2 linked regions of the Arabidopsis thaliana genome follow. The protein of the gene in region 1 purifies or fractionates together with the protein of each later gene. This does not show direct contact. Each region holds a gene or a part of one and is shown in the gene's direction. Other genes may lie near its edges.

Region 1 (14,516 bases):
CAGTGGCTTTTCACCGACTTCGCCATTGCTAATCGCCGTCGAGCTTCCATGGCTGCTGCTCCATGGCTCTATCTCTCTAGGAGAAGAAGCTCCACTCAGACTTCATTAAGAAGATTCCTCATTTGCTCTTCTTCATTCGATGCCGATGAATTCATTTCCAGTCAAAGCCGCGTAATCGGCGGGAGAGGAGAAGAGGAAGTACGATTTTCCGGTGCTCTCTTCTCTCGTATGATTCATTCTTCTACTTATCATCCTTACCGTCAAATTCCATTGCCACACTCTGTACAACTGCTTGATGCGAGTCTTGGGTGTAGAGGTTTCTCTAGTGGTAGTTCTAATGTTAGTGATGGATGTGATGAAGAAGTTGAATCTGAATGCGATAATGATGAAGAAACTGGGGTCAGTTGTGTTGAATCAAGTACTAATCCGGAAGAAGTAGAGAGAGTCTGCAAAGTGATTGATGAATTGTTTGCGTTAGATAGAAATATGGAAGCTGTTCTTGATGAAATGAAACTAGATTTATCACATGATCTCATCGTTGAGGTTTTAGAACGTTTTCGACATGCTAGGAAGCCTGCATTTAGGTTCTTCTGTTGGGCTGCAGAGAGACAAGGATTTGCTCATGACTCAAGAACATATAACTCCATGATGAGTATTTTAGCAAAGACTAGACAGTTCGAGACGATGGTTTCGGTACTCGAAGAGATGGGTACGAAAGGTCTATTGACGATGGAGACATTCACTATCGCGATGAAAGCTTTCGCTGCTGCGAAAGAGAGGAAGAAAGCTGTTGGTATCTTTGAGTTGATGAAGAAGTACAAGTTTAAGATTGGTGTTGAAACCATTAATTGCTTGCTTGATAGTCTTGGCAGGGCTAAGCTTGGAAAAGAAGCTCAGGTTCTGTTTGATAAGCTGAAGGAGAGGTTTACACCTAATATGATGACTTACACTGTTCTACTCAATGGTTGGTGCAGGGTGAGGAACTTGATAGAAGCAGCTAGAATCTGGAATGATATGATTGATCACGGATTGAAACCTGACATTGTAGCTCACAACGTAATGCTTGAAGGGTTGTTGAGGAGTATGAAAAAATCAGATGCGATCAAATTGTTCCATGTTATGAAATCCAAGGGACCTTGCCCTAATGTCCGTAGCTATACCATCATGATCCGGGACTTCTGCAAACAGTCGAGCATGGAAACTGCCATTGAGTACTTTGATGACATGGTTGATTCCGGGTTGCAACCTGATGCTGCGGTTTACACGTGTCTGATCACGGGGTTTGGGACTCAGAAGAAGCTGGATACTGTTTACGAACTGCTCAAGGAGATGCAAGAAAAGGGACACCCTCCGGATGGCAAAACGTATAATGCGTTGATCAAACTGATGGCGAACCAGAAAATGCCGGAACATGGCACAAGGATCTACAACAAGATGATCCAGAACGAAATTGAGCCATCGATACACACGTTCAACATGATAATGAAATCTTACTTCGTGGCGAGAAACTATGAGATGGGGAGAGCAGTTTGGGACGAGATGATCAAGAAAGGGATTTGTCCTGACGATAACTCCTACACGGTTTTGATCAGAGGGCTTATAAGTGAAGGGAAGTCGAGAGAGGCATGCAGATACTTGGAGGAGATGCTTGACAAAGGAATGAAAACCCCTTTGATTGATTATAACAAGTTTGCAGCTGATTTCCACAGAGGGGGACAACCGGAGATATTTGAGGAATTGGCACAGAGAGCTAAGTTCTCAGGTAAGTTTGCTGCAGCAGAGATCTTTGCGAGATGGGCTCAGATGACTAGAAGGAGATGCAAACAGAGATTCATGGAAGATTGATAACTTGGGGGCGGGTAACTGGATCATTCAACTCACTCACTCGGAGAAAGCTTATCTGCAAATGGTTGGTTTTCGAGCCACAACTCTTACTTGAATCAAGAATATGACTTCACTAGCACAGCTTGGACTGAACTGATCACATTGGAATCTGTCAGATAGCTTTTTTGTAATTTGCTTCTATAACAAGAAAATATTAATTAACAATTGTGCACTCTAATGAAAAAAATTAATCATTCTTTCACTGAGAAAGTGAAGAAATGCAAGTAGGCCGAGATAATAGCTTAAAACAGAGCTTAAACCGTCTGCAAATCATTTGAATACAAAACAAAGTTTAACAAAAGGAAGATGAAACGTAGATGTTTTCATTACACAACAGACCCACACACACCATTTTATATGAGAGGGTCATATTTTTTTGAATTCTTAAATTCCAAGATACTCAATGAAGAATCACAACCTTTAGCGATAATGGGATCGAGGTCGCCTGAAAGTTCTCTGTATCAAAGGTATCAGAGCTCTGTAGTTCCTCGGAAAACATGGTGACTACAAGGTCGCAGGAGGGTGACGGAAAGGGGAAAGAGGTGGAGTTGGAGGTTCCGCTACAAAGTCAAGCTATACCTTTGATCTCACAACACGTGCTTTGCTTAACATCCCTGACTTCATATTTCCAGCTCGCCAGCTTGACCCCTGAACGCTATAGCTTGACTTCAGTTTTCCTATAACAAATCTCCCCTCTTCAGAGAACCTTGACCTCAAGGTTCATGGAAACATCTTTGCCAGTTTATAGAGTAACTCCATGTAGCCTCTTCCACATAAATCAACATGAATCATAGCTTTCCTTTTACCAAGTCCTAAACCTTGAATCGCCAAGCTTGTGACAACTTCATCATCCTCTGTTGTCTAATTCGTAGTTACTCTTTCTACGGATTTGTCAGTAAATCTGTAGCCCTTGCATCTGTCTTGTATTTAAACCACCAATCTTTGCCTAATTTCCTCACTCCCAAAGTTGAAACACAACTTTTGCTACCAAACAAGTGCATATATGTGAGCATCTTCATTGTCAAACTCTGAAACAGACCCTGAAGAAGGAGAATGCTGAAGCTCATCTTTATGCACTGAATCATAGGAGAACCAGTGTGAATTTGACCCTGAAGTGACACAATCTCCCGACCCGTTTCATGTCTGCTTGGATCTCCCATTCTTCGATCATAGAGAAGTGACAAAAAGCTAGATGTTGTAGATTTCATGACTAAGACCATCCAAGACCAGTGATCACCACTCATTTCAACATGCACCATGGTCTTGCTCTTCCAACAATGCCAAACCGCAAAATGATAAGTCATACGCAAATTGAAAGAATTCAGTCTCGTGAAACCCTCTTCCCCAAATTTATACTTGAACCACCACCGTTTGGTAAACTTGATCTTTTTGTTTCTCATCACTTCTTGAATGACTAAACTGGTTTGCAACAGCAGCCTCTTTACCATTGTAATCCGATCATACACAAATTGTTCTCCATGACCTGCATCACTCTCTGTTATCCCAAGTATCATGCTAAGCAAACATCTCACATCAACAATCCTGGCCACAATGAACATCTCTTGATGTTCTCTCTTATCAGACATTAGCTGAAAGTGTGTTGTATATCCATGTTCTCTCATCATTTGTAAATTTCTATTCACGAACTTAAATTTCCAGGACTTGAATCTGATATGTAACCCTATTGGAAGTGATTCATGATCCCCTTGGTCTTGTGAGCTGGTTTTAAATTTGAACTTCCAGGATTTGAGAGACTTACTAGGCTTCTTCTGGACATGGACGGTAGCACTTCCACAACTAGAGTGTAATTCATCAACAACAAATCCAATTGATGACAGCATTTGATTCATTGTTGCATCAACTTTATCAAAATCCTTAAGGTTTGAACGAACCTTCTGAAGTTGTGAGACACCTTCTATGTCTATGGAGTGAAACGCGGCTTGATCTTGAATCAACGGCTTATGTTCAATCCATGAATCTGTTTCACACTCTTCTATGTTGAATCCAAATACGTCCCCAGCATCCGAATTTTGATCATCATCACTAGACACAGCATCATCAATTTCAACCAAATATTTCTTCACCGTCGCAACCGCATTCTCTACCAAGTCTGAACCACTAAGGAATCGATCTCCATCATTACCTATCATGCAATTACCATCATTAATCATAGAAGTTCCTGCAGCATTACTTGAAACATGTTGAGCTTCTTTCTGATAATCATCACTCTCTTTTCTGATAAGCACACTCTTTGGGTGAGCCATCTCATATAATCTTCCCAACATTAAACATTGTTGAATTGTCTGAGGTCCAAACATCCTAACATTCAGTTGAGTATCAGTTCTCAAACCTGCCAAGTAAACACTAACCAAGTAATCTTCAGCGAAGTTCAATCTAGTGCTAATCAACTCAAATCGAGCATGATACTCCTCTATTCCTTCAGTCTCCTGCAACTGTGTCAGTTTTGCAATCGAGTCATTAACATGCTCATCATATCTCACTTGCAACAACAGTTTGTAACTCCACCAATCATGCCTAACATGCTTCCACCACATCGATTGTACAATTGATTGGTGCAAAGTCGCAGCAGTGTCATCGAAATGGAGTGAAGCGAAACCAACTTTCAATTCCTCCGGAGTACGATCAATTAAGAAAAATTGTTCAATCTGGAACAACCATTCTGTAATTCTATCACCATTAAATCTGAGATGCTCAAGTCTCGCAAAATCAGATCTCTCTTCCAATGGAAAATATTTGTTCGACATACCGACTCTCTCTTTGCTGGTGTCAGGAGTGACGATCGGAGCTGTAGATATCAGCTGTGAGGATCTTCCAATGTTGTAAGCTCTCGTATCCAACATTGATTCTCCGATGCACGGTGAGGATTGAACACCAAATTGCTGATTCGTCGTCGCCGCTTTGCCGGAACGCACATCAGATTTGTGACCACAAACCACTTTCAATGACGGATACATAGTTTCGTGAATAGCTGAAACCTCCCGATAAAACATCTGCGAACGAGTTTCTGCCATTGATTCCGAGGAAACGCTTGGCTCTGATACCAGTGTTAACGTAAACCAGAAATGAATAGACAGAGTTTGAAATCAATAGAACAGAGAGATGAAAACAAAGTACTCCGATTAACACACTTGATACAACGTTCGTAAAGAGACGCGATATCAACTTCTCACCTACAAGAGACTCGACGAGAGCTCCGGTAAAACGATGAGGGAAATCTAGAAGTCTCTAGAGAGAGATTACAACCAGATTATTCGATAATGAAAGCATGAGCATAACATGTTGCTCTTATACAAAAAGGTAAAGAAAGTAAACGTTAACCACGTTAATAACGATCGCCGTTAACGTCCATTTGCATTGCCAGCTCGCCAGCTCACAACACACGTGCTTTGCTTAACATCCCTGACTTCACATTGCCAGCTCGCCAGCTCACAACACGTGCTTTGCTTAACATCCCTGACTTCACATTGCCAGCTCGCCAGCTCACAACACGTGCTTTGCTTAACATCACCAGAGTTCAAAGCAAAAGGAACGCCTCCTTCAAACGAAACGATAACTCCAATAATGATCATTGGCACGCAAAACGCATCGGACGAGTTCGGAACGCTAGCTCGTTGTTCATCACGATTAACGACCCTCGTCTCTTCCCTCTCCCCCTCAAAGAACCACTTTCGAATGACTCGAACATCCCAACTCGAACACCAGACGACCACTTTGATCCAGGAGGCTCTTCAGAAATGCGACGGTCACGCAACAGCCGAGGCGACCCTTTTAACCTTCCTTGTCGTCTCGCTTGACTATCACCGAGACAGCACATTGCCGTAATAGCAGCCTATACTTTGATAGCCACGCGACGTTTCGATCCTCGAACCTTGAGAATCATGAAAGACAAACCAAACATTGCGTCTTCCCCATGCGCGACTTTTCACTTCCTTCGATTGAGTTTCGTGCACCTGAAATCCTGATCCACGTCATCAACGATGCATCAGGATTGGGGGGCAACTGTTAGGGGTCGGATTGGGCCTACTTGGCCCAATGCCCAAACCCAAGTCAAAAGCCCAAAATAAGTTCCAAACCAAGGAGTATTAAGGCGAAGGGTAGTTTCGTCAAATCCCTCGATGAATGCCCTACACGCGCAGAAGGCTATAAATACGGAATAGCATGTCTTGTCAAAGGGGGAGGCCGCGAGGACACTTAGAGACAAAGAGCAGCTCGTCAGCTCACCCGTCTGAAGTATCTCGCCAGCCGGCCCGTCTCAAGCAGCTCGTCAGATCACCCGTCTGAAGCATCTCGTCAGCCGGTCCGTCTCAAGTAGCTCATCAGCTCGCCCGTCTCAAGCAGCTCGTCAGCTCACCCGTCCGAAGTATCTCGCCAGCCGGCCCGTTAAATTTTCCCGATGGAGATTCTTCCGATTCCGGCGGAGAGTTTCAAGGTAGGATTCATCGGAGCTGGTAAAATGGCGGAGAGTATAGCTAGAGGTGTGGTTGCTTCCGGTGTGCTTCCTCCTAATCGTATATGCACCGCCGTTCACTCAAATCTCAATCGCCGTGATGTCTTCGAATCCTTTGGCGTCAATGTCTTCTCCACTAGCGAAGAAGTAAGTTCTTTTTCAATGTCTTGTTGTTGTTGTTGTGGTGATGAACTAAATTGAGATTGACGATCTTCAAAAAAATGACAGGTTGTTAAAGAAAGCGATGTTGTCATATTCTCTGTGAAACCTCAAGTTGGTATATATATTTCTTACCTATCCATTGATTATATGATTGATTCATCAATGTAATTTTGTGTTGACTTAAAGTTGTACCTTTCATATGATGTAGTTAAGAAGGCTGTCACAGAATTAAAGTCGAAGCTTTCAAAGAATAAGATTCTGGTTTCTGTTGCAGCTGGAATCAAGTTGAATGATTTACAGGTTTTGCATCATTTATACTCCTATACATTTGCCATTTAAGTTGTCACTATCCATGGTGTTGCATTGTGAGTTTCTAGAGCTCAATTTGGTTAAAAAACATAAAGGTCTCTCCTTTTTGTTTTTAGGAATGGTCTGGTCAAGATCGATTCATAAGGGTGATGCCTAATACACCTGCCGCTGTTGGTGAGGCAGCTTCAGGTATAGTTTATCAGAGTGTTCGCATTTGTGATATTTCTGAATTTTGTTTGTGATTTCTGTTTCTCTCTGAAGCTGTCAAATGCTTACATTTGCCAATTATGTTGTGTGTATATAGTTATGAGCCTTGGCACAGGAGCAACGGAAGAGGATGGAGCAATTGTTGCTATGTTGTTTGGCGCGGTGGGGAAGATATTGAAAGCTGATGAGAAAATGTTTGATGCTGTCACTGGTCTCAGGTACAGGAAAACACTGTAGCTGCTGAAATGCTTGAGTTGTTCAAGTCACTAATCAAGAAAATTTCAAACTTTTTACAGTGGAAGTGGACCAGCATACATATTTTTAGCAATTGAAGCTTTAGCCGATGGAGGAGTAGCTGCTGGTTTACCCCGAGAGCTTGCATTGAGTTTAGCTTCACAGACCGTCAGTGAACATCTACATCGCTTCTTTAATCTGCTTTATTATGGTATTGAATACCGAAACTAGAAAGAGAACCCTAAGCTTTGAGGTTTTTTGTTTCCTATTACAGGTTCTTGGAGCTGCAACGATGGTTAGCAAAACTGGGAAGCATCCAGGTGTGTTGAAAGATGATGTTACCTCACCTGGCGGCACTACAATAGCCGGAGTTCATGAACTAGAGAAAGGCTCTTTCCGGGCAACACTTATGAATGCAGTTGTTGCTGCAGCTAAACGAAGCCGCGAGCTCTCACAGAGCTAAATGATACATATGTAGTTGCTGCTATTGTTTCACCTCACAGATTAATCAAAATAAGGGTTATGGGCCTTATGGCATTGCTTGTTTTTAGGCGAGAGTTTTATCCCACTTGTCTTCGATGGTAGAGGTGAAGATTATTTATCTAGACTATGATGTATTAGTTCAGACAGAACTCAGATACTTTTCTATAATTCTTAATCTAATAAAAATCACTTTCAGTTTTGGGTTCAATATCTGACCAATAAGCCAAGCCTCGGACGTGATTCTGATTCTAAAAAAAATCGACTAAATTAAAGAATCTTTTACTATGAGTCAAAGCTTAATCTAGAGAAACTTCAACGAGGAAGAAGCATAGACTGGCTATCTATTTAATGATCACTGAATCTTCAAAGAATCCGACCAATTTTGCATATAACCAAAAGACTCATGACTATCTTACCAAATCTTGGTATAGAATATATACACATAAGAAAAAGAAACAAGTACTGGTAGTGAAGACAGATGAGAATCCACAAAAAGAAAATAACCCAGAAAGAAGCCAAGATTTTTCATACACGAACGTTCACTCTTTTTATCGGTCCATAATTTGCCAATTTGGTAGATCATGCCGCCATGCCGGAGAATACCATGTAAACCGTATGACTCGTAGCAAACGGTTTTTAAAAAATTTGTAGTAGAAAATGTTTATAACTGGGATGAAGATGATGAACCTGTAGTAACCAAACCCTCCCGAGCAGTAACAGTGACAACATTGGTGACACGAAGCACGGCTTGTGCGCTAAGAGCCGACAGTTTTGACTTGCAGAAAGTTTCCCAAGTAATTGGCTCTACCTCCGGGATTTGCTGTTCTTCTGGTGATGATGTCTCAGGGTTGATGAGAGGATGAGCTTTTTCATATACGCTCTGAAGTTCTAGTAGGACAGTCCGTGCAGCCTCACGGGATTCAGGGAGCTGATCGCTAAGCTGAGATGCGGCTGCTTGAACTAATTTGTCGATTCCATATTCTTTAATCCCTTCAACGCCCTGGAATATGTATTATAACGCAAGGTATTGTTGAAATTTTTACATGACATGCGATGCCTTTGTGAGAGATATATATGAAGTTGAACTTGTATTACCAGTCGAGGAACACTTCGAGAAAAGCATAATGATGCTTTGGCACGGATCCGAGGATTCCTGTTTTTGAGACAAGGTTGCAGCTTTGGTAACAGCAAGGTTGGGGAAACATATTTGGTCATTGCTGTTAAAGCTTTCTCTGCTGCCTCGCAAACAAACCGTTTGTCTTGGGAAGACTTGAGGAGTAGTTGAGTAAGCTGAAAGCATAAAGTGTATGAAAAGCTGTAAGAACAAGTAAAGTTCGCAGTAAACAGTGAAAGAATATAGCAAAGATAGAAAAGTTACCAGAGGCTCCAACAGATCTGTTATATGATTATTATATGCACTGAAGATATCTGCAGATGTCATGCATGCCGTTTTACACACCGCACTTCTTGGATTTTTCAGTGATTTCACGACAAGTGGTATCACTTTTTCACTGTTAATGGGATATGGTGAGACTTGCATTTTCCAATCTACTTTAAGAGACAATTATTTAGAAACATCAGCATAGAGAACAAAGCTTACAGCATATGCATCATTTCTTCCTTGTGGAATATCGAAAGTCGGCGAACGTTATTAAGAGCATCACAGAGTGAAATCCAGTCCTTGGACTCTAGTCCAGCTAAAACAGACTGAAACAATAAGACCAAACAGATTCTTAATGGCGTAAACAATGTAGTTCCAAATCTCTAAAATAGACAGATACAACAAATTCATCACAGTTATGATACTAATGGGAATTGATGTAATCACAAGACAGAAGCACATACCTTCAGAACTGCATCAGCATCGTCTACATTATCCAAGTTTTCAGATTCAATATATTCAACTTCCACAATAGCTATCTCTGGCTCGGGTTTCTCTGCTTCTACAACTTTAGAATCACTGGAATCCAAGGAGGCAGAGTTTGGTAATGGTCTATCTTCAGATTTTCCATTCATTTTACCAACACATGGCTTGGTCAAGCTAGCTTTACAGTCACTTATCTTCTCAGTTACATGAAGACTATTCATCTCTTTCAAAGTATTACTGGCCATACGTGAACTTACCTGCATAAAAACAGGAGAAAAAAAAATCATCATCAAAACTAAATACAGACCGTGGTAGAGAATACCATGGATATAATAATTAACCAGTGCAAGGTCAAGCACACTGCAGGAAGAAATCTAACTTATAACAATGTAGACCAGAATCATAACCAACTCTACATATCTAACACGTTCTCGAATTTACTTCCATAAAAGCTCAAAGGATACTGAGTTTTCGTGAAACTGTTACAGTAAGACTAAAATGAGAAACTTAAATCCGTTTCAAGCTCATCGGTCATCACATAGCAATAGATCTTTAGAAATTGCAAACAGATCTTTAAGTTCCACAAAGCTTGAATCAGCTAAGAAACTCCACCCACAAACAGAAATATAAAGAAGGCTGATTCAAGCTTTGTAGATTCATGTGTATACAATTACAAACCAAAACTCAAATAATAAGACACTTTAGCCTTAAGATCAGCTCTTTAGTCTCTTCGTACACTCAAATATTTTCTCAATTTCGGGATAAACACACAAGAATCTCAAAAACAAGAACAATAGTAAAATGCCATCAATAGGGAAGTAAAACTCTACTTGTCAACTTCACAGACTGTTGAATAAGATCAAAACGGGACCAATTCAACAGCACAAAACGAGACATAGCATAGATCTACATTTCCAATTCGAATTTCAAGCGATTTAACAATAACAACAAAAACACGATCTCACTCAAGAACTCTGAGAAGATCTCAATTAATTTCCAAAACAAAATCCTCGCGATTCCATTTCCGATTCATATACTTTCCACCGGCTGACTAATTCTCAAATTATAGAGATCAAATGATTATCGAAACCAGTTCAAACTTGCAAATGCGTATTCAAAAATGGAGCTAGAGAAATTTACCGGCGAATCAAAGCGGTGGCAAAAACACAGCCTCCGGAGTTGAGAAAAACTGACGGCGGAGTAGCGAAAATCTATGGACTCACAGAAATCGCCGGCCTTAAGAGTCTATATAAGGAAATGAAATTTTGAAATGCGAGAGAATCGAAAGAGAAATTTTAAGAGAGAGAGAGTCTTTTATTTTGTACAAGACGAGAAATTATAAAAACAGGCGATGCGATTTGATGCACTTTCACGAGTCGTATTCATATGGTGTGGTTTCCAAACGACGTCGTATTTCGTATGGTGTGATTTTGAAACGGCGTCGTATAATATATGTGGGACCCATACGCACAGGATTTTATTTGTCGGTTTCTAGTTACCATATGCGATACTGTGCCTCGCGGTTGAAATTAATGTTTTTTAAAAAAAATATTTCTTTCTCTCTTGTTCACATTATTCCCAAAAATATCCTCTTGACTAAATATATTATTTCCAAAACTATAACTTTTTGTTACTATATATTTCATTTTTAGCGATTATTATGTTTATTTGACATAAAGTCCTATGATTTGATTTTTGATTATGACCCCCCAGCGCCAAAAACATCCTCATCAACTGTTGTTGTAATTTAGTATCATGTTTTTTGGAAATGAATTTTCTTCAGAGATCTACATTTGTTTCTTGAGATCTTTTACAAATATTTTTTGGAAATGTTGATAAGATTGACTTTAAATGTCTACAATTTATGGATACACAGAAATGCATGGTAGGTCTAAGAGCTTTAAATCCATATCGTACTTCAGCATAAAAGAATGGTTGAATTCAAATTTGGTCAGATCCGTATAATAGTAATTAACTTGAATCATTTGTAAGATCGAGTTTTGATTTGTGACAATTAATGATTAATTTTAAGATTAACTTTAAGGTTTATAACAATGTATTAAAAAGAAAAATAATCCTACTATATTATTTGGGAAATACAATTTAAATGTAACCTTACTTTTTGTAAATAATTACATAAGTATGCCATTAGAAATAAAATTTTAAAGAGTAAATTAATTTATCTGTTTAAGGATTAAAAAGTCAAATACTAATTTAATTAATTAAATTTAATTAAAAAACGAAATACATTTTTAATTTCCAAAAACAATAACCAATCAACATATAAGATTTGATATCTAAATTTTAATTAATTTATTTAATTAGAAAAACGAAATACATTATTAATTTCCAAAAAAGTAAACAATTAAAATTAACAAATTAGATTTGATATCTAAATTATTATATTAATTTTTTATTAATTATTATAGTTCACTTCTCATCTTTATATGATTCTATTTTTGCGAAAAAATAATATCATCATTATAAAAAAAATTAGAGTTTTTTCGCATATGCCATAATTTGAATTTTTAAAAACGAATATAAACTGTTCAATACATGAAAAAATATTATAACGGGTGAAAATAGATTTAAGAAAACTTTCTACTGAGTAACAGGTCACAATTTGAAATATTTATATTCAATTTCATACATATTATATTGAAAATTTATAATCTTATATACTACAATAACATATTAGATTTTTTATGTGTATGATGTGATTCAATTTTTAACAAGCTGGAAAATCATAAAATTGACGGGTTTAGATCGATATTAATACAAGATGGTATACTACAGGTGAAACTCTTAAATTAACAATCAAACTACAAGTGTATAATCTTAAATACTAAACAATATAGATAATATCAACAAAACATATACAACTCACAGTTTACTATACATTTAAAATCAAATAAAATAATATCATATATTTTTAAATCATCTTTACAATAAAGGTTTTTAGTTTAACTAAAATATAAGCCTACCTGCGGTATACTGCAGGTTAATATCTAGATTATAGGGCTTATTGGATCTAAAGACGGGTCATCAAACATTTCCTAAACTGAAGCAAAATATACTGAATATTCTAATATCTATCTTTTACCAAATTATAAACAAATAAGTTCGTAAAACAATTTAAGATTTTATATACGAAATTAATTAAATCTTAATCACATAAAAATTAGCAAAAAAAAAGTATTCAACAATTAAAAAATTATCAAATCTCTGTGTTATATAAGTTTTGATACTATATTCGAATAAAGTGTAATATACTTTTTCAATTTGTATTCTTTAACTAATTTAAGCTAACTAATATATTTGTTTTTTTGGTGGATTGGGGTAAAAGTGCATTCGGGTCATATGGTACATTCTCCTATTAAATAAATATGGTGCACTTCTATGTTATTAGCTAAAATATTTAGATTATAATTCAGAGTCATATCATTAATAAAATTAATATTAATAAAATAAATTGCTTTTTGGCAAGACGGATTTGAAGGGACGGGTTTTTGAATCAACATTAATAAAAAAGTAAAATATAATTAATCCACCATTTCAATACGAGTTAAATCTTTAATTTGTTATCTTTTAAGATCACTAATATTAAACATATCAAATCATTCTAATTTAGAAAAGATTATATAAAACCAAAAATGTTATGTGGTATGTATAATGTTACTATATATAAAATTAAACTATAAAATTTAAATATATTAGAGAATGATACAATTTGCAAAACTTTTATATATAAAAAATAATTCTTAAAATTTAAAAATTACTACTTTGAAAAAAAAATAACGAGACGGATAAAGAAATTAAAGAACGGGTTTTATTTTGGAATTGGGTTATATGGTGGATGTATTTGAATCAATATTTATAAAATATTAAAATATTATTAATATGATGTTTTAATAGGGGTTAAAACTTCAGTTTTTTAACAATTGTCTCATGGATTCGTGGTATAACGTTACTTAATAACAATTATAAACTGTAAAATATCAATATTTTATAAAAATAAAATTTGCAAGTTTTAATATATATTACTTATAAAAAAAAAAATTGTCCCGCGGTATACCGCAGGTTAAAATCTAGTAATAATAATATTTGGTAGTAGCAGGTTGCATAAGGTGATATATTCAAAACGAAATAACGTTGCGATTATGCGTATCTTTACTATGTTAATCTTTACATAACATAACATATGTTAATCTTTCGTATGTTGTAATCAGCCATACTATATAATGAATGGGGAAATCACAAGCTATGTTCAAGACTCTAATATAATGGGACTCTACATATATAATGGTTATTCTTAACATTTTTAGTTAGTTTTCTTTCATAACTATGCTATGCATATCTTTTATCAAAATTTCATCATTCCGCTTGTGTTGTGAATCAAAAACTTATAAAACATGATGAGGAAAAACCATACACGTGAGATAATGCAGTGTGGGGGAAGGGGCAGATTTGGAAAAAGGCAAGAAGTTGGCTGTCAACATATCTGAATCTCTAACCACTGTTTGATCAAATTACAAATCGAATGATTAGCATCCCCACACCCGCTTCTCCCATCTTGAGAAAATATGAAAACAGTTTTCTTTATATTATAGACCTATAGTTTTAAATACGCATATAATAATATGGGATTCATAATTGATATAGTTGTTAAGAACTTAAATATTGATACAAATATGGACCCACGTTCCATACAATGATTCAAATATTGTCGTAATGTTGTAGTTACACCATTGTCGGTGTGTGCATCAAAATCTGATAGAGCTAGGTCCTAATAACAAGAACACTTTTCTTTAGACAAATTTAATATGCCTTTATTCATTTTTATGTTTATATAATGAGATTTGAAACCATTGAGTTCCTACGATTGGGGAAACAAATACATAT
Region 2 (16,617 bases), on another chromosome or scaffold:
CCGAATACTAGCGAGTAGTGTCTTGACAATGCAACCATCCCTCTAAAGTGAATGGTGCTATTCTAACACAACCACTCCTATAGGGCAAGGTGCTTCGGTCTCAACTATCCTAGCTATTAGGTTAACAACCTCAACAAACTCAACCATAACAACAACAAAACTAAGAGAAGGGAGAATCGAGAACATGCAAGAAGGAAAATCAAACATGCAAAACAAAAACCGGAACTCACAATCACCGATGAATCTTCCTAACTCGACCGATGGTTTCTACTCGGGATCTCTCTTTCGGACTATCCTAAGGCTCGACGATCTCTTGCTCAGACTCTCTCTCTCTCTCTCGGGTTTTAAGGTTCGGACGATCTCTCTCTCTCTCTCGGGTTAAGGGTTCGGATGATTTCTCTCTCTCCCTCTCGGTTTGGGCAGAGTTTTGGTGCGAAAGCTTCTAAGGTGTAACTAAGGGGGGGGGGGTAAGGTTCTATTTATAGGCTCAAGGTTCGGATATGAGGAGTGGGACAAAACTTGGTCACCAAGTTGGCTTTGGGACAAAACTTGCTCACCAAGTTGGCTAAAGTTGGCGTGCATTGCTCAGGACAAAACTTGGTCACCAAGTCGGCTTTGCCCGAATGGATTCGGCTCCACGTTTTAAGACTTGGGCTCTACTCTAGCTTCCGCGGATTATAAATACTCGGCCCTTCCTTTCATTTCACGCACCATTCTCTCTTCTTCTTCTCTTGCCCTTCTTTCTTGCCTGGGGTCAATGCGCGGGGTACTAAAGCCACCGGTTATTCCATAATTAGGGTTTGAGTTTAAGAATGGTTCGATAACAACCTAGCTTTCATTAGATCTACTAACCAATAGTTTCTTGAGAATACTCTGTTCCTACCTCTTTTCCTAATTTTTTACAACACAATCAACCTGCTGTTATCTTACTTTGTTTTATTACTATTTCAATCATCACCTTCTAGCTTAATCTCGACATTCAACTTATTGTTTGAACAAAAGAACTTTGTGAATTCGATCCTTAAATACTGCAATTGATCTCTTATATGAGAGAGTAGTTCTAGGGTAATTTGAACCTTATTAGTGATTTGAGAGTAGAAGAGATGGCTAGGAAGATTTAATTCAAGTTTGCTAAATTATCGGGATTAGTACATTACCATTCTAGTTATGGGATAGATATGAGGTTGTGGGTGTAAATTCTTAAATCAATTCACATTTCAAGTTCATAGTATAATAATCATACTTGTTTAATTTAGTATGTCTATATCATACATGATCTCTTTGATGTTAAGAGGAGCATCCAGCTTGGTTTTGACAACACAACATCAAATTTGGAAAAATATTTAGATTTGATGTCTTTAACGTACATGGAGGTTATGAGCGTCTTTATGTGTTTAGCATTTTAATCACCACAATAGTAACAAAATCATCGTTTAGTATTGGATGTAAGTGGTTAAATCTTTGTAAAAAAAATTGTCTTATTCTAAAAATTGTCAAAACCTTGCTTTATACTTGAAATTGACTACGTGGTTTTGTGAATTTAGAAGGTAATAAAAAGTTTATATTTTTGTAATAAACTTATTTTATTTAGTTGAATCACATCTTTAAATTTTAGGGTAATATCAATAGATATACATGAACGACTCATTAATTAGGTTGACCACTTGATCACTGTGCACATGTCACTATCATCCTCTTTTTTGTTTATCCTCTTTTTATCATCCTCTTTTTGACTCTTTTACCCCTTTTCTCTCTTTTCTTTTTTTCTTTCTTTTGTTTCTCTTTTATTTAATTTCTGACGATACAAAACTATAAGAATAATAATGGAAACATAAAATCAAATCGAAACAAAGATATTAAAATCAGTATTGGTGAGTTGACAAAAAAAGAGGTGGCGTGAATGAAAACGTGGATTGAGATGGCACGTTCATACAAATATTATCTAGATATTAAATATGTTAGCATGTTATTATTTTATATAACATGTTGTTTTAACTGCTATTATATTAATTATGTAAGAAATAAACTAATTCTTTAAATTGAACTGATATTTACATAAATAAAAATATATTAATTTTCAATTCTAGGTCGATAAAAGATTTGTTTAAAAGTAAACTTATCGCGATATCATATTTTTTAGCATATAAAACAAATAGATAAATGCTTAAATCATATGATGTTTTACTATATCATCTGATGAATAGTGTTTCGGTCGCATGTGAGCAGTGTTATCGAGCGGTTTATGAACTGTGTCGCCACATATTACGTCAGAAAAAATTGGGCTTCTTTCATGATTGGGGCATTTTCCAAGTTTTTAGTGCATTTAGGGCACATTGAAGAGAATAGACACTTTTTTGGAGTTTTTTCACTATTTTAAAAAAATCAATACCAGTTTACCCCTTATTCTCTTCACCTTAAATCAAGTAGCATGGTTAAGAAATGGTTTTGACGGAATCATCTCGTCCATCGAATTGAAAGGTAAAGTTAATCTCTTTTAATCTTGACCGTCAAATTTAAATAAATAAAACATATTTTCTCTATCTATCACTTTCTTATCTTTCTTGTCAATTTCTTCTCTCTCTTCCTTTTGTTATTTAATTTTTATTTAATTTAAGACATTCTCTATTTGATTAAAAATCATTTTTTATAAAATATATAATAATAACATTTTTTCCTTCATGAAATCCATATTACTATATTTATTCATACTATTATTTATTGTATCATCAAAACATAAACAGATTCAGAAAACAAAAAATCCATATGATTTAATCCATTTGGACAACAATGAAATATATAATCTTTAATGAGAACCATATAACCATAAACTCTAAAATCATTATAAACAATCATAGTTCCTTAACACTAAATTCTAAACCCTAAACATTAGATATTAAACTCTATACATTAAACCCTAACTTCTATATCTAAACCCTAAACCCTAAACTTTAACCCATAAACACTAAGCCCTTAACCATATACGTATACCCTATACCATATACCATATACCATAAACCCTAAATCCCAAACCTTCTTAATGTTGCCCATAAATATTAAGCTTAAACCTCTTATCCCTAAACCCTAAACCCTAAACCCTAAACTTTAAACCCTAAACGCTAAACCCTAAACTCTAAACCTTAAACACCTAAACCATAAACCCTAAACTTTAAACCATAGACACTAAGCCCTTAACCATAGAAATATATCATATACCATTTACCATATAAACCCTAAATTTTAAACCTTCTTATTATTGCTTATAAATATTAAGCATAAATCCCCTAAACATAAACCAATTGAGAACATAAAAAATTCATATGATTTAATTCATATGATCAAAATGGAAATATATAATCTAACAAGAAGCATATAACCCTAAACCCAAAAATAATTGTATATGACCATGGTCAATTAACCCTAAACCTTATACCATCTACAATAAACTCTATAATCATTGTAAACAATCATAGTTCCTTAACACTAAATCTAAAACCCTAAACACTAGATACTAAACTCTAAACATTAAACCCTAACCCCTAAATTTATACCCGAAACCCTAAACCCTAAATCTTAAATCCTAAATCCTAAATCCTAAATCCTAAACCCTAAACCCCTAAACCCTAAACCCTAAACCCTAAACTCTAAACCCTTGATATTAAACCCTAAACCTGTTAAACCATAAAGACTAAACCCTTAACAATATACATATACCATATCACGTATACCCTAAACCCTAAACCCTAAATTCTAAGATCTTCACTTTAAAACTTCTTGTTGTTGTCCATAAATATTAAACATAAATCCCCTAAATATAAACAAATTGAGATAGAAAATCCATATTATCCAATCCATATGGACAACAATGGAATATATAATCTCCAATGAGAAACATGTAACCATAAACCCTAAATCATTGTAGACAACTTTGATTCTTCAACCCAAAACCCTAAATCATCTAAACTAAACGCGAAATCCTAAACAATAAAGCCTAAATCCTAAAATGTAAACACTAGATACTAAATCTTAAACCCTAGACATTAAACCCTAGCCCTTGACTTTAAAGCCTAAACCCTAAAACCTAAGTTTTATATGTACATAATCTATAACCACCACTTTTGATCCATGATAATCTAAAGCACGCTTCTTAACCTGAAAACGTAAAATATTATTGAGATCGATGTGTTCATACACAATCTTACGATATACACTCGTATTTATGTTTTGTTAATATGTAATCGTGGATAAATAAATATAAACATTTTCATAAATAAACTTTTGTTGATATGACCAACAAAACTTGTTTCATCACATTTTATCAACATCTTTTACATAACGTAACACTGGTTTTATGAATAGTATTAACAAAACACAATCATTTTGAATTATCGACCGTCAACACACATCCACCAAACTCTGACCATGTGGTCATTTCAAATTATCGCCTATCACTCTTCTTTGATTTGTTTTGTATTTTTTCCATTTTTTCATTATTTGCTCATGTGTTTTAATGAAAATAGCATCAAACTACCTTTAAGTTACAAATTTATAGTAAGAATATATGTTTGGGTTCTTTAATTCAACTCTCTCTCTCTCTTTGAGGAATTTCCACAAATATTTGGTGGCCAAATCTAAGATTTGTAAAAAGACAAAAATTTGACCAAGACAATGATGGATACACTAAGAGAAGAAGAAACCTAGCAATTAAAAATGAAAATTTTAACCTTATGAGGTTGATTAAAGAATGAGAAACTGAATAAAAATCTTGAAAATTTCCAACTTTTAAGATCTAAGAAGAGAAAGAAAAAAGAAAAATCTAGATCTACTTTTTGGTGTTTTTGATGAGAGAGAAGAGAGATAATGTCTCAAACCATTTCCTTTTTTCATTAAGATATTTTAAGTGTTTTGTGTGTTTAATTTTGTAAAGAGTAGAGAAAAAAATGAATGAAAAGAGAGAAAAAGTAATGGTTGTAAATTATGGTAAGTTTGGATTGCTTAGGTTGGGTTGATGGTGTAGTAGTAAAAAAACTTTAAAAAGTGTTTACTCTTTCTAAAGTGCTTTATTGCGTAATTGAGTTTCAAAAAAGTGTCCAATTACCTAATATTCTCAAAAACATTTATCATGTTAATGACATTTCTGTAATTAACGTAAATGAGAAGGATATATATGGTTGATTTTTCTTTTCTTTTTTATAGTTACTTAATTTTCAAATTATTAATGTTATAAAACTAAAAACTATTCTTTTAAACATATATATTAATATAGCCTTAAATTTTAAGTGACATTGAAGAAAATTACGATGGAATTGAAAATGCTTACAACGATATTAAGTAGCTTAAAAATATGAAATTCTAAAATGTGCAATTCATAAATTTAAGATTCCTAGATGTAGTCCATAATTATATTTTTATCTGTTTGGTTTTTTATAATAAATTAGAAAAAATGGATAAAAAATGTAACCTTAGCTAAAAAGAAAAAGAAAGAAAGACCCAATAACCAACGAAATCCATTTACCCGTCCATAGGTCTTGGGTTCGGCCCATCAGTTTCCCGCCACATTGTTCCCGCCAAAACTCATAGTCGACATAAAGCCCTTGCCCCCACTCTCTCTCTTCGTTTAGAACTTTTTGATAAGAGAGAAAGAGATAGAGAAATTCGTAACGGAGACGAAGCAACGATGTCAGGATGGGACGAAGGAGCAGTTTACTACAGCGACCAGCCGCAGTTCCCGGAGGCCGGAGACGCCGCAACCATCAGTCCCCACGCCGTCTTAACCAAATTTAAGGAATTCATTCGAAACTTCGAGATCGAACAGAATTGTTTCCCCTACAGAGAAGCTCTCCTCGATAACCCTAAGCGACTTGTTGTCCACCTCGAAGATCTCCTCTCCTTTGATTCCGATCTCCCCTCCTTAATCCGATCTGCTCCTGCCGATTATCTCCCTGTGGTATGACTTCAAAAAAAATTAGGGTTCATATAAGCTTTGTATTGAGTGAGTCAATCTTTGAATTGTAGTTTGAGAAAGCAGCTGGTGAAGTGTTGACTGGATTGAAAATGAGGGAGGCTAATGAGGGAGGGGTAATGGAGGAACCTCTGACTAGAGATGTGCAGATTTTGCTCACTTCAAGAGAGGATCCAGTATCAATGAGATTACTTGGGGTATGTCTGTTTTTTTGTTTTTAGTATCAATGAGATTACTTGGGGTATGTCTATAATGTACTCTTTACTCTTGATAGGCACAGTACATCTCAAAGTTGGTGAAAATCTCTGGGATTAGTATTGCAGCTTCGAGAGTGAAAGCAAAGGCGACTTATGTGTTTTTGGTATGTAAGAATTGTAAAAAGACAAGGGAAGTTCCATGTCGTCCGGGTCTTGGTGGGGCAATTGTTCCTCGATCATGTGATAATATTCCACAGGTGAGTTCTTTTGATTCGTTTGTGATTTGAGTTTGTAGTTATCCTTGGTGTTGATTAGACCAAATTGGAATTTGTTTAGCCTGGAGAGGAGCCTTGCCCTCTTGATCCTTGGATGGTGGTTCCTGATAGGAGCCAGTATGTTGATCAACAGACCTTAAAGCTACAGGAGAATCCGGAGGTATAGATTTACATTGTAATGTTTTCGCTTTTTTTGCACTTGTATATATTAAATGCTTCTGAGTTTTGAAGGATGTTCCTACTGGAGAGCTTCCAAGAAATATGCTTCTCTCAGTTGATCGGCATCTTGTACAAACAATTGTACCTGGAACCAGACTGACAGTAATGGGTATCTACAGCATTTTCCAAGCTTCGTCATCATCTAACTCGTAAGCTTTGTAGTTTTATGTCAAATGAGAGTGTAGATTGTTTTCTGGGAGAGTTACACCACAACAATGATGGACATCTTTTCCTACTTTCTGATGTAGGCATAAAGGAGCAGTTGCAATTCGCCAGCCTTATATCCGAGTTGTTGGACTGGAAGACACAAATGAGGCCAGTTCCCGTGGCCCTGCCAACTTCACTCCTGACGAAGTTAGTATCGCATCATTTGGTTCTTTTTGTTTTCTCATTTGATAGCCTATGTCATCCATGGTTTCACAATGAACTATTGAAGTTAACATGGCTGAATTATTGTTACTGGAAACCAAATGCCTTAGGTAGCTGTTGGCTCTATGAAATTCTTTGTGTAACTCCCAAATGAATGTGATGGTGTTTTCTGGAAATATTCTCTGTGCTACTAGTTTACTATGAAACATTTAGGCCTGCTTGGAAGCCTAGTTGTACAATTCCATTTATCAGTTTTGTCTTCCATAATATTACTTTTAGGAGGAAGAATTCAAAAAGTTTGCTGATAGTCAAGATGTATACAAGAACATTTGCACCAAGATCGCTCCTTCTATATTTGGCCATGAGGATGTGAAGAGAGCAGCTGCGTGTCTTCTCTTTGGAGGATCCAGGAAGGTAGGAAACTGTGATAGCAGTTTTTATTTTCTGTGCACTTTGTATACGTTTTTGATATATTTATATACATTTCTATCTTTGATTCAGAGCCTGCCCGATGGAGTGAAACTAAGAGGTGATATTAATGTTTTGCTTTTGGGAGACCCATCAACTGCAAAATCACAGGTTTGTAATGTGGTCTCAGTATCAATGGTTTATAATAAGTGTGTTATTCTTTTTATATTTTCTTACGTCTCTCTTATTTGCTTGATATTCGTCTTACATCCTTCTGTTCAAGTGTTAGATTACAATCCTTACAAAATGTCTGTGTTATTTCCAACACCTGTAGCTTACATGTTTAAAGCTTAATTGCTTATTTTTTTTCTCTCTAGTTTCTTAAGTTTGTGGAGAAGACGGCTCCAATTGCTGTTTATACATCTGGAAAGGGTTCATCGGCTGCTGGGCTCACAGCTTCGGTGATTCGAGATAGCAGCACTGTATGTCCTATCTTCAAGTGTTTTTCTATGATTTGTTTAAAAGTAGTTGCTATGACAGATTCTCAGTTATTTATACATATGTTCATTGCAGCGAGAGTTCTATCTTGAAGGTGGTGCTATGGTTTTGGCTGATGGAGGTGTTGTGTGTATTGATGAATTTGACAAGATGAGACCGGAAGATAGGTAATTCAAATCTGAATCATAGTGTTGACGAATCTAATTTTTCTCTATGAGTAGAATTGATGGAATGTTTTTTTTTTCTTTATAGGGTTGCTATTCATGAGGCAATGGAGCAGCAGACAATCTCCATTGCAAAAGCTGGGATAACAACTGTCCTTAATTCTAGAACCTCGGTGCTTGCTGCTGCTAACCCGCCATCTGGTCGATATGATGACCTTAAGGTTTGAAATCTGGTACTCTCCTTTGGCAATATCATGGTTTTCCCGATTCTTGTTTGCAATATTCTTAAGAGATGGGTGTGTTTTTTTTTCTTTGGATTTGCAGACTGCTCAGGACAATATCGATCTGCAGACAACAATTCTTTCTAGATTTGATCTTATCTTCATTGTCAAGGACATCAGGAAGTATTCCCAAGACAAGGTAAGCAAGGAAAGGAACAATTCTTTCAGAAATTTTATGTAGTTAAAAGGGAAAACAGAGATTAATGATGGAGGTCACTGTTATTGGAAAGTTTGCTTCGTTGCTTGCTTATTATGTAGACATGATTAATGTTTATAATCTTTTCACAGGAAATAGCCAGCCATATTATAAGGGTTCATGCATCTGCAAACAAATTTTCGGATGAAAACACAGATTCTAAAGAAGATAATTGGCTCAAAAGGTGTGTTTTCATTCGTCGAGAAAACAATGTGTTCTCGCAGTTTTCTGTACAAAATCATGACTCTAAAATATAATGCTCTTTTTATGTTAGGTATATACAATACTGTCGAGCAAGGTGTCATCCCCGTCTCTCAAAAGACGCTGCTGAGAACCTGCAGCGGAAATATGTCACAATCAGAATGGTAATTGTCATTTACATTAGATTTGACAATAAGATGGTTAAAAAACAAAGTTGGTGTCAGTATAAAATTTTCGGCTAAACAGGATATGAAGAGACGTGCACATGAAACAGGAGAGGCTGCTCCGATACCTATCACAGTGAGACAACTCGAAGCTATTGTCAGACTGAGTGAGTCACTTGCAAAAATGAGACTGTAAGTAATCTTATTAACATAGAGATTCCTGATTCCTGAAACCTGATGGGATGTGCCGTCCATTGACATTGTTAAATATGTCAGGTCACACGAGGCCACACCAGATGATGTAGACAAAGCTTTTAAACTTTTTGATACCTCGACAATGGATGCAGCAAGATCAGGGATAAATCAACAGATAAACATAACAGGCGAGATGGCCAATGAAATCAAGGTTAGTTGCTTGTGGGGAAGAAAGAATCATCGTATCTCTAGATGTAATAACTAAATTTGGTATTGGTGTGAAAAAACAGCAAGCGGAAACACAGATAAAGAGAAGAATGGGGATCGGAGCTCGATTATCAGAGAGAAGACTGATAGAGGATCTGGCTAGAATGGGAATGAACGATTCAATGGTACCTAAGCTAACATCTTTGTTGTTTAATTTTCAGTAATGTGAATGGGATTTTTGAGGTAATGTGCATGTTAAAATGGCAGGTGAGGAGAGCTTTGTTGATAATGCACCAGAGAGGTGAAGTTGAGTACCAGCGAGAGAGACGTTCTATTGTCCGCAAAGCTTGATCGTCTAGGCATGCAATCTCTCTTCTTTAGTAGCAGCGATGACCAAACAAAACAAAATATTTAATATTATCAAGTTAATTTGTAGGCAAAAAGTAGAAAGAGAAGCTTATGTCATGTGTATTTGATGAAGATTCTTAGTAAACTTTTACGCTTGCTTCAAACTAATGTATTCTCCACCTTTGTTGTCCTTAGTTAAAATGTCACGCCAATGTTAGGAAAGCGTTTGAAGATTGCTGAATGGTATAATCTAGTGCCGATAGTTAAAGTAAAGATGCAGATAGAATAGTTGATAAAGTAAAAGTGTAATCTGAACGTATATGTAAATTAAAATTTTCTTAATGTTGTTATTAGTAGAATGTTGTTACCTTGAAAAAAAAATGAAATAAATAACCATGGTTGAACTTGACTCAAAATGTTCTTCTTTTAAACTGGTTCGGGTTACAAAACTAGTATGTTGTTGAATTTTGAACTGGTTCTGAAGCTCCCGGAATCTCTCAATTTCATTTTGTTCTTGTGTTGTTGAGAGATAATTGCTTCTCTATTTAACATATTTTTGGCCAATTACTTTACTCTATCATGCATAGCTTGGGAAACTCATGGCTAAAGCTGTTTTAAGTTGCAATGAAGAATCAATTCCTTCTGAACTAACTTCTTGGAAGAAAAACAGACAATAAGAGTACCATTGTTTACTTCTCAGTTCTCAATCACCATCGAATTAGATAGATATTTATGAATTTGGATTAGGCAAGTCCATGAAGACTCATTTATTATGGAAAACTGAGCATATAAATGAGCTACTACAGTTGAAACTAGTTTTTCTTAATTTCCATGACAAGATAATTATAGCAGAGATCAGAAGTTACAAGTGATCAGATTCTAACAACATTTCACTGAGAAGCTCTGACAAAGCTTGAAAAAGTTGAGGAGTCATCTTGCAAAAGATGTTGTGGTTTTCCTTGTTCAACAAGAATTCCACGATCAAGAATTAGGATGCTGTCTAAATCAACAACCGTAGAAATGCGGTGAGCAATGGTAATGACGGTTACGCCTTTGCATTCACTCGATATCGTGTTGTGGAGTAGGGAAGCTGTGTGAACATCGATGTTGGCGGTGCATTCATCAAGGCATAGGATCTTAGATGACTTGAGCAAAGCACGAGCAAGGCACAAAAGCTGTCTCTGTCCAACAGAAAAGGAACAACCAGATTCCTTTACATATGAATCTAACCCTCCTACACTTTCTACCGCTGCCTTAACTTTACACTTGTCTAGGATCTCCCAGATTCTCCAATCCTCACTCAACCCAAGAGGATCAAGGTTATCCCTACGAGAACCACAACTTTTTTTCATTATGAAACTGCAGGCAACACCTTTGGTTAGTGAATTGAAGGAGTTAAGTTCTCACCTCAGTGATCCTTGAAACAGAAAAGGGCTCTGAGGAACAACAGCGAGGCAAGAACGGAGTTCTCTTATCGGAAGATGGCTTATGTTTTTTCCATCCACCAATATCTCTCCACTACAAACAGGAGTAAGCCGGAAAAGCGCATTCAAGATCGAGGACTTCCCGGCACCAGTTCTTCCAATTACTCCTACCTGATAAATGAAAACAAAACAATCATGAGACAGAAAAAGTCAATTCTGTTGTAGAGTGCTCTCTCTAGCGGATAGTCTCTTCCCGATAACTTCATATAAATTGTATATGTTGGGAGAAAAGATAAAAACAGAAAAAGTCAAGTCTGTTGTAGAGTGCTCGGCGATACACGTACATGCATTCCTCCTTGGATTGTAAAAGAAATTTGGGTGAGGGCCGGAGGCAGAGTTGAGATGTATCTCATTGTCACATTGTGAAACTCAACTAATCCGTGAACAGGCCACTTATCGCTGAGAGATTGAGGACCTGAAACTTCTTCTTGAGGCACATCCATGTACTAATAACACAGGAGAGCATGGTTCATGTAATTAGTAACACTAACATACAAAAATTACTTAATGAATCAGAATCATTATCTTTATCTTTGATTTCTCGTAGTGCGAATGTAGAAGTGGATAATTTGGCACGACGAATTTGTACCGAACCACATCATATCATATATGTAAACAACATTCCTCAGGAATGGCTCTTTTGAGCTGCAATTAATTTCGGTTGACAAACCAAAAAAAGAATCAGAATCATTACCTGGAGAACCCTTTCAACAGAAACCATTTCTTTTTCTGTTTCAGTAAAACTTGTTAACAAGCTTCCTAACAGAGAAACCAATGGAGCTGCATATGAGAGCGCTAATCCCACCTGTGATCCAAATTATAAATAGTATGCTTTTCACTTTCCTATATATTTATGAAAACTGCAGTTTCTTACCAGTCCAGGTGTACCAAAACTGATTGGAAAGTTCCCCCCGGAGCCGAGGACAGCCATTACAGCGACAAATAAGACAATCATTGATCCTAACAACTGCACCATTTTACTCAACTTATCAGCGATTTTTCGAGATTTCCATATTTATTGCAGACACATGAAACTAAACATTGTTACCAATTCTCAAAAGGTGAATGAAAAATGTTCTACAAAATGTAAGCAAAGATGTATTAGTGTACCTGAAGACGCAAGGAGAGCCACAAGCTTGCGATTATCTCTGAGTAAGAAGTCCGCTGGTATAGCGTCAAATGCTCAATAAATCTACCTACAAAATGCTCCTGTCATGCAAACCGGAATTAGCATACAGTTTTGTCATTAATGGAGAAGCAAAACCTGACATTTAGAAGCAGAACCAAAACTACCTCAGACTTAAAAGCCCTGATAGTTGATGACCCATCAAGTGTCTCCGTGAACGATGCATATATCGGTGATCGTGAAACACTGTCCAACCTTCGTAGTTCCCTTGAAGTAGACCTGTAGAAGACCTGAAGCAATTTTCAGTTAGTAGAAAATTTGAACTCTTCTTCTTCTCTAAGGGACACCAAATATGAAATCAGATTGGCTACAAGAAGTTGTATATGTACCTGAAGCTTGCTGTATATGTACCAAAATGGCAGAAGCAGAAGCAGGAATAGAACCTGTATACATATTATACATTAATGTAACTTCTCCAACAAAACAGAAGAGTTAATACTTAGCAAAAAGAGAGAAGAGTTTCAGACAAACCTGAACATAAGACAATACTACAATAATCCCTAACAAGCCAACAAAATTTGCTAGAAGAATGTTGAGAATAAACGGGAGAGAGTCGTCGATGGTATATAGATCAGAGGAAAACCTGAACAGAGTAAAACCAAAAAAAGAAGTTAAGATGAAGAACAAGACACATGATTCAAAGAGTTTCCTTGTGTCTAACCTATTAAGTATTCTTCCACTTGGTGTCTGATCAAAGAACTGTGTAGGTGCATTTATAAGCTTACTGATTAATGCATTATGAACATGCACTGCTGCTTTTAATCCTCCAAATGCAAATGAGAATGCCCTCACCAAGGTTAATATTGAGTTAATGATGCAAAAGATACAGAGAACCATCTGCAAGATTAGTAGTTATTATTAAACTAGAAAAACACAGAGACATAAGAGTTACGTTTCGTGGTTTTATGCGCGAGTTTAATACCAAATAAAACGAGGTTGAGTAATGCGATACTCCTTTTCCTGTCTTGTCAACCCAATATGATAGCCACAAATCATTTCCATTACGAGACCCTTGCATTAAAACCGCTGAAACCAATATTACAATAGTAATGAACCAACCAGAAAACACAGCATAGTTCCTGCATAAACAGATAACAATCACTTACTTATACATATAGGCAACAAAAAAAAGACATGGTTAAGCAAATTTTGTTTACCTATAAACCATCATTTCAACTCGACCCTCTTTTCGTTCCTCTAATTTGACGATATCCGCCGCAGCTTCACTAATTTCATCTACACCATCTTCCTTGATAGATAGAGTCTCTTTTCTTTTGGTCAAGTGATTTGGTGATGACATATCAAATTCATTGGTTAAAGAAAATGTTGGAGAAATGGATTTGGGCATATCAGTAACACTTCCTGACCAATTCACTTTTCCTTTGTCCATCACAACAATCATATCTGCACAAGATATCGCCTGTCATAGTAGAAACAGCTTGACGGTATGAGAAAAAATTAAATTGAGATAGATAAATATTTAACGTGTAGAGAGATTTGAGACCTGAATGTTGTGAGTGCACATAACACGAGTCTTTTTGTTCAACAGAGGACCCAGAAGTGCTCTTTGCAATATCCAACATCCTACTTGTGAATCCACTGCACTCAGTACATCATCAAGAAGGTACATGTCTGAACCATGATAAACAGCCCTATTGATAAAGCACACACAAAATCATCAGAAACACAACACTCAAGTCTATGGATGGTGAAAGAGCATAGGAGATATATAGCAAACCTGGCCAAAGCAAACCGAGCTCTCTGTCCTCCGGATAAGTTTAGTCCTTTATCACCTATACACGCCATGTCTCCTCCGACCATAAGTGAAATATCCACATCTAGTGCACAAGCACTCAATGTCTCGAAATACCTAGTTTAACAAAGTCACCACTAGCTTTGTCTATCAGTTACACTAGATCATAACTTTAAGAGTTGATGAAGCAAACTTACTAAACCTTTTGGAGTCAAAAGGCTTCCCGAATAAAATGTTTTCACGTACAGTTCCAGACAAAAGCCATGGGACCTTGAAGGTGAGTGAGGTACATGTAAGACTTCTCATAGTGGAAACCAAAAAGAAAGTATTTAACCAGTTTACAAACCTGTGGTACATATGCCACAGAGCCATTTAATAGTATAGATCCATGAACACACCGCATTTCGCCTAAAAGTGAATTCAACAACGATGTTTTACCTGAACCAACCTGAAAATTAAGCAAACAAAAAGAGTTTAAGAAACACCTAATCATAATTTAATCGAACTATGCAGCTCTAACGGTGGGGACGATTCGTATACCTCCCCGATAACTGCAACAAAAGATCCCTTTGGCACTCTTAGGCTTACTTGTTTTATTGTCAAGTTATAATCCTCTTCTACGTTACTTGACCAAGTACAAGATGCATCTTCCACACATACAGCTAAGTCTTCAGATGTAAATCCAGAATCTATAGAAAAATCTCTACTATGCTCCAAACAACACAAGAACTTGCTCACACGCCTGGTGGATATAAAGGCCTGCAACAAGGTAACAAAAATGATATATAACTAAAATGGTAGATAAAAATGCTTCTTAATATGATCGAAAGATAATCTTACATCAATGAGACCGTTGATGACCCATGGAAACGAGTTTAATGGAGAGATTAAGCTATTAAACAAAGCAAGACAAGTAAACACCTGGAAAAAAAAAAACAGGATTGTCAAGAAAATTTTACATATTTGAATCAGAAAATGTTATAGAGCAGATTCAAAAAGTACCGTTGCTGCATCAAGTTGATGACCCATCAGAGCAAAGAGACCAAAAGTGCAAAGAGAAAAAAGAGTTGGTGTTGTTGCCCAAAAGAAAACACACCAAGCATCTAAATACTTCCGAGTCTAGAAAAGCCAAACGAAGACTTAAACGTTAATACAAAGTACTTGGACAAAACAGCAAAAGGAAGGATACGAAGACCTAACCGCTAAGTGAGTCACTTCGGTGGCTCTTGTTTCCTTCAACCAATCAGCAAACCAGTTATCCCATCCATACATTTTAAGTGTGCGTATGTTTGTTAAAAGCTCTCCTGTTTTTCTAATCCTGATAGATAACAAAACTTTTTACAATGTGAGAAATTACTACTAACATCCCTCTTATGATCAACACTTACTAAACGTTTTCTCACACCTCTCATCTTTAAGCTTCATCATTTTCTCTGTTGCAGATGCAATCAGCACCGATATCCATTTATTCACTGCCAAAAAAAAAGGGAAAATGAGAAAAACTGGCATCACCAACGAGCTATTGGCCCAATACTAAATCTCCGTGGAGGTGATAGGTTCGAGGCACGTTGGGAGGGATTTCTTTTTCAAAGGAGATGAATCTAAAATGGTGTGGGTCTCGCCTCTAGGAGATGTATGGCCTTTGGGCTTACACTTCCAGATATTCAAAAGAAAAAAATGGGCATTCTATATTGTAGTTACGATAATGTAAACTGGGTACCTGGTATCAGCAAGATGGTGATTGCAAGTCCAGAAAGAAAAGCAAACTTGACTTGAGTATACAAAAGATACAAAGCTATCCCAATTTGCAAAGGCAGGCTGAGACATATATTTGAATGAAAAATTGTAAGAGTGGCCAATTTATTGTTACTCAATATTGGAAGCACTTTCATTGTTTACAGGCAAATGTTCTTACCTCCACAAGTCATGCAAACTGTTGCACAAGTTAACAATGCGGTCAGCATCTACCGACATAAATGTTTGAATCTCGCCTTCAGAAAATCCTGACCGGTTTGCTGTGTTCACCCACAAACACTGCATACAATATAATTTCATAAACAAAAACAGCTCTTTACCAAAAGAACCAAAACGTTTGATACTATGTATGAAGTTATATATCGTATACTCAAAAGGTGCGTCTCCGTTTGTAGTAACGGCAAGGAGATATCGATATCTTTAACCGAATACTCGCTGAAGCAAAGCACAAATTTCCAAAACCATACTGTATATATACAAAATTCTTGTGATAATAGTTCACTTTCAAGAAATTATGGAACCAATTACTACCACTCACAATAAAAGTTTTCACTTTTCACATGTTTTACCTTCCTGTAGATGACACTCATTATACTAGACCGTAGCTTGAGTTTCAGCTTTGAAAGACGAAACGTGTATTGTGTATCAAGAAAAGACCTACAAGACAAAAAAGCATACATCACAAGTGCCTAGTAACTATTGCTACACTTGGAACACATTTGAGATGACAAAAAAATGTAGAAATATGATGACTATGC

The links.
Region 2: the proteins of P5CR (region 1) and MCM5 fractionate together in Arabidopsis thaliana (co-fractionation; one large-scale study listed by BioGRID). This does not show direct contact.

The regions. Positions count from the first base shown.
Region 1 is NC_003076.8:4,779,401-4,793,916, reverse strand, and holds P5CR (pyrroline-5- carboxylate (P5C) reductase), read left to right. Parts: upstream 1-5,920; 5' UTR 5,921-6,298; coding exon 6,299-6,499; intron 6,500-6,580; coding exon 6,581-6,629; intron 6,630-6,722; coding exon 6,723-6,814; intron 6,815-6,939; coding exon 6,940-7,012; intron 7,013-7,127; coding exon 7,128-7,248; intron 7,249-7,326; coding exon 7,327-7,432; coding exon of another isoform or gene 7,433-7,436; intron 7,437-7,538; coding exon 7,539-7,727; 3' UTR 7,728-7,957; downstream 7,958-14,516. Other genes in the region: AT5G14820 (Pentatricopeptide repeat (PPR) superfamily protein), read left to right, coding at 49-1,845; AT5G14790 (ARM repeat superfamily protein), read right to left, coding at 8,409-8,747, 8,843-9,037, 9,126-9,258, 9,348-9,454, 9,593-9,859.
Region 2 is NC_003071.7:3,516,446-3,533,062, reverse strand, and holds MCM5 (Minichromosome maintenance (MCM2/3/5) family protein), read left to right. Parts: upstream 1-5,562; 5' UTR 5,563-5,674; coding exon 5,675-5,944; intron 5,945-6,012; coding exon 6,013-6,156; intron 6,157-6,233; coding exon 6,234-6,413; intron 6,414-6,492; coding exon 6,493-6,591; intron 6,592-6,662; coding exon 6,663-6,799; intron 6,800-6,898; coding exon 6,899-7,004; intron 7,005-7,298; coding exon 7,299-7,433; intron 7,434-7,520; coding exon 7,521-7,598; intron 7,599-7,804; coding exon 7,805-7,909; intron 7,910-8,000; coding exon 8,001-8,092; intron 8,093-8,177; coding exon 8,178-8,310; intron 8,311-8,413; coding exon 8,414-8,509; intron 8,510-8,658; coding exon 8,659-8,750; intron 8,751-8,840; coding exon 8,841-8,931; intron 8,932-9,013; coding exon 9,014-9,123; intron 9,124-9,207; coding exon 9,208-9,337; intron 9,338-9,416; coding exon 9,417-9,518; intron 9,519-9,600; coding exon 9,601-9,684; 3' UTR 9,685-10,079; downstream 10,080-16,617. Other genes in the region: ABCC13 (multidrug resistance-associated protein 11), read right to left, coding at 10,572-11,007, 11,089-11,276, 11,450-11,611, 11,860-11,970, 12,040-12,132, 12,276-12,374, 12,459-12,581, 12,681-12,734 and 16 more. UniProt on the Arabidopsis thaliana protein: Probable component of the MCM2-7 complex (MCM complex) that may function as a DNA helicase and which is essential to undergo a single round of replication initiation and elongation per cell cycle in eukaryotic cells.